Linked DNA regions of Arabidopsis thaliana. The protein of the gene in region 1 interacts with the protein of each later gene in a pairwise test. Each region holds a gene or a part of one and is shown in the gene's direction. Other genes may lie near its edges. The genes, in order: YUC2 and AT2G25010.

Region 1 (3,927 bases):
TTCTTGCTTCTACCAAGGTAAGAGTTGCACCAATGGAAAATACAGAAGCCAAAAGAATATATAACTAATGATGCAAAGAATCATATGTAACGTACGCATATATATTTGGGAAGTGATTATCATAGGATTTGAATAGTATCGTAATGTTATACACTGTGACCATGACATGCGATACAAGCAAAAGTTGAATTTATAACAGTAACTCATTGTGAGATATGAGTGGTAAGAGATGGTAATCATAGTACACCAAGTTGACTGCACAGTGATAACATATATATATTCTCTTTTCAATATGATCAATGATAGGTTATAGTTCATATCATATGATGTGTCCTATCATCACTCATGATATATATAATGAAACATAAGGCACAAATATAGTTTTACATATATTCCTTGACCAATCATAAATCCATTAAAATGTAAGTTCATAGGTCATTTTGTTTTTAATATACAATGTCCTTTTCGCCTTAAGCTAAGGTATATTTAGTTTCAAACTAGAAACCAACTTTTCTTTAACGAAAAGGAAAAATAAACTTGAAATGGTTGAATTTTGGTAAAGTAGTTATAATTTTACCGGTTTCTCTTTATTAGCCAAAAATAAATGATAGTAAGGCTATAAAAGGAGAAACAAAAGTATTGACCACTCTTGGAGTTTACAATTGGATGTTACAACTTGAAATGCGCACCAGTGGAAATGTAACTTTGAAGGAGCTGTAGAACATCTTAATTGCAGCTTTGATTTTATAGACGACGACACTCGAGAAATGCAAAATCCATCAGTGGCAAAAGATTCTCCAAACTTTGTGGGGGCACACGAAAACACTTTTAGTTTCATGTTCTCCATCATGTCTCACAATACTTTGTTGTAGTTGTTTCCTCATTGTGGTGATTCTGAGGATATTCGTTTTCAGCTTGGTTTCTTTTGATCATTGTACCTTACTTTGATCCGTCCTAATTAACTTCCATTTCCAAAATAGCATGTTCCACAACTATCCAACTAAAACGTGACCCTGCATGATTTTCATGTAATCATTTTACTGATTAGCTAATTCTTGGATCATACCGAGAATATCACACTAATGCTCATGACTAGTTGAACATCTTAAAAGGCCGCCAGGAGCTATAACATCTTTAAAATACATTTCATAAAGTCCTCGGTGTATAAAAGACAAAAGTTCAACTAGCTATACACCGAGGACTTTATGAAATCTATTTTTTTTTCTTCTTCAAGTTGGATTCTTTAGTGGGTTCATTGTTTTCAAATATTTTCTAACATGGGACTTTTTGTATCAATCGGGTTGGCTAAATTTGGTCTCTTTTGATAATACTGCAAAAAAAAAGAATATATAAAAATAGGTGAGATATTTTTATACCTAAAATGGAAAGAAAAGTATAATCGTTTAGTTAATGGTTCGTTATCAAATCCCAATAGCCATAATTACGATATAAAGTATAGTAATTAAATAGAATTAAACATAACATGCCCATCCCACTACCTATCCACCTATATATATATATATGTATATATACAAATAGAGACATGTATCTCTCCCCAATTATGTCATGTGTCCATCGCCATCTCATCTTTTTTTTCCAACTCTTATAAAGAGTTGCTTCTCTCTCCCCAAGTATTTGTTTCAGAACCGCAAAACCTCTTCTTCAAAATCCGAAATCTTTGTTTCAAATCTCAATTCTTGAGAGATTTTCTTATAACAAATACTACAAAAATCTTTTGAGTTTGAAAAAATAATATTTCATCATTAGATTTACCCTGGTTTATAGGGAATATCCGATCTTTCTTCTTATCTATTTGGTTTATTTTCTTCTTAGTTCTTTTTGTAGATAAGATCAATGAAACTCATTCTCTCTTTTCACCTCTATTCTCGGGACATAATTATCCACGAGTCACAAAAGAGAGTATAATCTTTGTTTACCACACGGGTTTAAAAACCTAATCTGATATCAGTCCCCTACTTCACTTCTTGCATATTTTTAGATCTATTTCTCTCTTTTTTCTTCTCTTTCTCTCTTTCATGGAGTTTGTTACAGAAACGTTAGGCAAGAGAATCCATGATCCGTACGTGGAGGAAACTAGGTGCTTAATGATTCCCGGACCAATCATTGTCGGTTCCGGGCCGTCGGGACTGGCCACAGCGGCATGTTTAAAGTCGAGAGACATCCCTAGTTTGATTCTAGAACGTTCCACTTGCATAGCGTCACTATGGCAGCACAAAACATATGATCGTCTTCGACTTCATCTCCCTAAAGATTTCTGTGAGCTTCCATTGATGCCTTTTCCTTCAAGCTACCCTACTTACCCTACAAAGCAACAGTTCGTCCAATACCTTGAGTCTTACGCCGAACATTTTGACCTAAAGCCCGTTTTTAACCAGACCGTGGAGGAAGCCAAGTTCGATAGGCGGTGTGGGTTATGGAGGGTGAGGACAACCGGAGGGAAGAAGGATGAGACAATGGAGTATGTATCACGGTGGCTTGTTGTGGCGACCGGGGAGAATGCCGAGGAGGTGATGCCGGAGATTGATGGAATCCCGGATTTTGGTGGACCTATCCTCCACACAAGCTCCTATAAGAGCGGTGAAATATTTAGTGAGAAGAAGATTTTGGTTGTAGGATGTGGAAACTCCGGGATGGAAGTTTGTTTAGACCTTTGCAACTTCAATGCTCTTCCTTCTCTTGTGGTTCGTGACTCGGTGAGGATGAACAAAACTCTTCTCGTTAATATATGCAAGAACAATGATAGATGTTTAATTAGTATAGTTCTTGCATTTTCTCGCTCTACGTAATTTGTCACTCTTAAAGGTTTAACACTAACATCATTGGTCTCTTTGTGATCAAGTAACCAAATGTTTACTCTTTTCTTCTTTCGCTTTCAAAAAAATCCACGCATGTGATTATATTGATTCAGATCTCTTGTAATTTTATGGATTATATATTCCAATTCCATGATTACAGTTTTGGCTAATTAAAGTTTTTGTCTAATGCTATAGGTACACGTATTACCTCAAGAAATGCTAGGTATATCGACTTTCGGGATATCCACGAGCCTGCTCAAGTGGTTTCCAGTGCACGTGGTGGACCGGTTCTTGTTACGTATGTCTCGGTTGGTTCTTGGTGACACGGATCGGTTAGGGTTAGTTCGACCAAAACTTGGCCCTCTTGAACGCAAGATCAAATGCGGAAAGACTCCTGTTTTGGACGTTGGCACTCTTGCCAAAATCCGAAGTGGACACATCAAGGTTCATTAATTATAATTAAGTATTTTTAATACAATCTTGATTACAAAACCGTGAGCTTATGGTATATTGATTTGTTTTTTTTTGTTTTTTCTTGACTTTTAGGTGTATCCGGAGTTGAAACGGGTAATGCATTATTCGGCAGAGTTTGTTGATGGGAGAGTAGATAACTTCGACGCCATTATACTCGCCACGGGTTACAAAAGCAACGTACCCATGTGGCTAAAGGTGTGTACCATGAGCGATGATGCGTCTACATCTTCATTATTCTTAATTCCTTGATATTGACACATCACAACCCATTTTACGTTTCAATAGTTGAATTAACTTGGTTTGACTTTGAACTGTTTTTTTTTAGGGAGTGAACATGTTTTCTGAGAAAGATGGATTTCCGCATAAACCATTTCCTAACGGTTGGAAAGGCGAAAGCGGATTGTATGCAGTCGGTTTCACAAAGCTTGGATTGCTTGGTGCAGCCATTGATGCCAAGAAGATCGCTGAGGATATTGAGGTTCAACGACATTTCTTACCATTGGCTCGTCCTCAACATTGTTAATTAACCTGAGATTCGGGTTTCGATTTGGCAAGTTTGGATTGGGTTATCTAAGAAGTAGAAAGGTAGTAGTGGATGCATTTATGTAAGGTTCCTAACTCTTTAATTGTGACATAT
Region 2 (3,927 bases), on another chromosome or scaffold:
TCATATGCATAATACACATTATAATTTTGGCACAATTAGAATTACACACAAGGATTTTATAAATGTTTTTAAAATGATTTACAAAAGATTTTATAAAAATTTTACAAAAGTTTTTAAAAGATTTAATAAAAGTTTTAAAACGATTTTACAAAGAGTTTTAAAAACTTTTAAAGGTTTTAAAGAAAGTTTATGAGAATTTACAAGAATTGTAAAAGATTTATAATAATTTTTTTAGAATTAGAAAGGAGACCCTCATTTTCCACCCAAATCGTCAACCTTCTCATAATTGACAAGTTATTACACTCTCTCCACTTACTAGTTACTATAAAACCAAAGGAGACCAAATCTCTTAGCAATTATGAATTTGGTCTTCGCTATAATCTCACGTTACATTAAATTGGCTCCTGTGAACCTAAATTTATGGACTATGATCCCAACACCAATCCGTTCGACCTTCATTTCTCCGGTAAACTTCCGGTGAGTTTTTCAATTTCTTCGAAAATTTCACTTCAATTTTCGAGGTTGTGGTGATTATTCGTGGTGTTCATATATATTTTATTGCCTGATTTAGAAAAGAGAAGTCTCGGCTTCAGCTTCTAAAGTTGTAGAGAAGAAATGGTTAGTGAAAGATGAGGTTAGTTCTTTCATCGAACACTTTGGTGTGCAATACTTTGACCTCAAAATTTTTGACTATGAGTGAATGGATTAGGTTGATCAAGTTCTCATATCTGATTTAGACATTGAATAGTTTGTTTAGATCGGTGATGCTCAAAAGTTGAACAAATCAAAGCTTTGTCTTACAGCTTAGTTTGGTAATGGTGATTTTCATTTTACACAGAAGAGAAATATGCTACAAGATGAAATAAACCGGGTTAATTCGGAGAACAAGAAGCTAACCGAAATGTTAGCAAGAGTCTGTGAGAAGTACTATGCTCTTAATAATCTTATGGAGGAGTTGCAGAGTCGAAAGAGTCCTGAAAGTGTTAACTTTCAGAACAAACAGCTAACGGGGAAACGAAAACAAGAACTTGATGAGTTTGTTAGCTCCCCAATTGGACTCAGTCTCGGACCAATCGAGAACATCACCAACGATAAAGCGACGGTTTCAACCGCTTACTTTGCTGCTGAGAAGTCTGACACAAGCTTGGTAAGGAGATTTCTACTACAAGTATCGTTCTTTGAGTGTATTGATTTGTTAACGAATGTTTTGTGGATATACGTTACTTGTAGACTGTGAAAGATGGATATCAATGGAGGAAATACGGGCAAAAGATTACGAGAGATAATCCATCTCCTAGAGCTTACTTCAGATGCTCGTTTTCACCGTCTTGTCTAGTCAAGAAGAAGGTACTTTGGTTTAAACTTTGTTAAAGAGTTCTTCGATATCATCTTGCTGTCTGATTAAATTCCCTAGTTGTGTGTGCGCTTGTTTAGGTGCAACGAAGTGCAGAAGATCCATCTTTCTTGGTAGCCACTTACGAAGGGACACATAACCACACCGGACCACATGCAAGTGTGTCCAGGACAGTGAAACTTGATCTAGTTCAAGGTGGGCTTGAACCAGTTGAGGAAAAGAAAGAGAGAGGGACGATTCAAGAGGTTTTGGTGCAACAAATGGCTTCTTCGTTGACCAAAGATCCTAAGTTCACTGCAGCTCTTGCGACTGCTATTTCCGGGAGATTGATAGAGCATTCAAGAACATGAAAGTTCTCTAGAACATGTATATTTCTGTTTTGTTCTATTTTGTTGCTCATTCCTAGTAAAAAGGTAAAGATTTGTTTGATCTTGATTAGGAGGCATAGATGTCAATTTTAATGTGTGTGTATATAATTACATCAAATCTAAGTATCCAAAAAGGGTCACCCCCATTTTATCTTATGTTGAAAGAGTTTTGTTATAGCTCGGTGTAAGTATGGTAGATTGACGCTGCTTCGACAGTTTATGTATCTTCCAATGTTATCTTGTTCAGTTGTTTGTATTAACTTCCATTAGAGAAGAATGTGATGCCATTACAGACATAAAAGAAACAGAGAAACCCGGAAACAGAGTAAAACCACGAAAAACAGAGTCGGTTTAAGAGAACCAAACCAAAATAACCGGTACAGCTATAAAAAGCCAAGAAGAAAAATTATGAACCGAGTCCAAATTAGGTTACGGTTAGCTTCCAATCCCAACTTCTTCTTCTTCTTCATCTGTGTTTAGTCCCAAATTGAAGAATCAAAAGTTTCGTGTTTTGAGAATTTGACAAAAATTTGTTTATGTAATCTTAGTTTTCGCTGATTTTGAGTAAGTTATCGACATGGATATTGATGTCGGACCAGTTGATCCATCTGTCCTATACGAGCAAGACCTCCATGTTTCTTCTGCTGTTTGGGAAGGACAGGTTTTTTTCTTAATTCCCTTGCTAAATTTCAGATTTTGAATTTAGGGTTAATCTTATTTCCCCTTACTTACCTTAGGAACGAGGTCTACTTCGTTGTCAAGAACACACTTCATTGCTACATCAATGGAAACTCACTGATGAACAAATTAACCTCGTGGACAAAGCTGGTTTCGGTTACTTTCGCAAAATCGGTCCAATGAGTTTAAACAATTCACTGATCTCTGCACTTGTTGAGCGATGGAGAAGAGAAACCAATACTTTTCATCTTCCTTTAGGAGAAATGACTATAACCTTAGACGAAGTTGCTTTAGTACTTGGACTTGAGATTGATGGAGATCCCATTGTTGGTTCTAAAGTTGGTGATGAGGTTGCTATGGATATGTGTGGTAGACTTTTAGGGAAGTTACCATCTGCTGCTAATAAAGAAGTTAATTGTTCTAGGGTTAAGCTTAATTGGCTTAAAAGAACTTTCTCTGAGTGTCCTGAAGATGCTTCTTTCGATGTTGTTAAATGTCATACTCGAGCTTATCTTTTGTATCTTATTGGTAGTACCATTTTTGCTACTACTGATGGTGATAAAGTCTCTGTTAAGTATTTGCCTTTGTTTGAGGATTTTGATCAAGCTGGGAGATATGCTTGGGGAGCTGCTGCGTTGGCTTGTCTTTACCGAGCGCTCGGTAATGCGTCGCTTAAATCTCAGAGCAACATTTGCGGTTGTTTGACTTTGCTACAGGTTGGCTTCTATGTTAGTTTTGGTTTTCTGTCCAGTTGAGATTTCAATATCTTTAGGAAATGTAACATATGATTGTCTCATGTATATAGTGTTGGAGTTATTTTCATCTGGATATCGGTAGACCCGAGAAATCCGAAGCGTGTTTCCCGCTTGCTCTTTTGTGGAAAGGTAAAGGAAGCAGATCCAAAACCGACCTATCTGAGTACCGCAGAGAACTGGACGATCTTGATCCTAGCAAGGTAAACCCTTCAGTTCATCCTTATGAATTTTGTATTGCTCTAAATGTTAATAATTGATGGTTGTGAAAATGCAGATCACTTGGTGTCCATATGAAAGATTTGAGAACTTGATTCCACCACACATTAAAGCCAAGCTGATTCTAGGAAGATCGAAAACGACTCTTGTATGCTTTGAGAAAATAGAGTTACATTTTCCAGATAGGTGTCTGAGGCAGTTTGGGAAACGCCAGCCGATACCTCTGAAAGTAAAACGCCGCGACAGAAAGAACCGTCGGCTTGATGACTTGGACACGTCAATGAGTCTAGCGTGTGAGGAATGGGCTGAACGTGGGGATCACATCGTGGACAGTCCTGGAGGTGGCAATGTGGTGGATGATGGAGCTTACATGGAATGGTATGCTAGGATCAGTATCACCAAACTATACCGAGAAGCGTTTCTCGAGTCCCAAGTCATGAATATGGTAAAATAAGTTTAATCTCTATCATTTCTGTTTTTAAAACATCTTATATTTGAAACCGGCAAAATAAGTTTACTTTGGTTTGGTGTAGATTGCTTGTATGAGGGAATTTGA

Evidence for each region.
Region 2: the proteins of YUC2 (region 1) and AT2G25010 interact in binary tests that used the Arabidopsis thaliana proteins (3 or more experiments, as listed by UniProt).

What each region holds. Positions count from the first base shown.
Region 1 is NC_003075.7:7,721,726-7,725,652, reverse strand, and holds the start of YUC2 (Flavin-binding monooxygenase family protein), read left to right. Parts: upstream 1-1,582; 5' UTR 1,583-2,036; coding exon 2,037-2,714; intron 2,715-3,011; coding exon 3,012-3,260; coding exon of another isoform or gene 3,261-3,269; exon of another isoform or gene 3,270-3,362; coding exon 3,363-3,485; intron 3,486-3,615; coding exon 3,616-3,813; 3' UTR 3,814-3,927.
Region 2 is NC_003071.7:10,629,392-10,633,318, forward strand, and holds the start of AT2G25010 (Aminotransferase-like, plant mobile domain family protein), read left to right. Parts: upstream 1-2,139; 5' UTR 2,140-2,299; coding exon 2,300-2,383; intron 2,384-2,459; coding exon 2,460-3,116; intron 3,117-3,205; coding exon 3,206-3,355; intron 3,356-3,429; coding exon 3,430-3,816; intron 3,817-3,904; coding exon 3,905-3,927. Other genes in the region: WRKY60 (WRKY DNA-binding protein 60), read left to right, coding at 421-477, 572-634, 839-1,147, 1,231-1,347, 1,435-1,704. UniProt on the Arabidopsis thaliana protein: Acts as an important factor for cell fate determination and maintenance throughout plant development. Required for the organization of the root apical meristem (RAM) and the shoot apical meristem (SAM).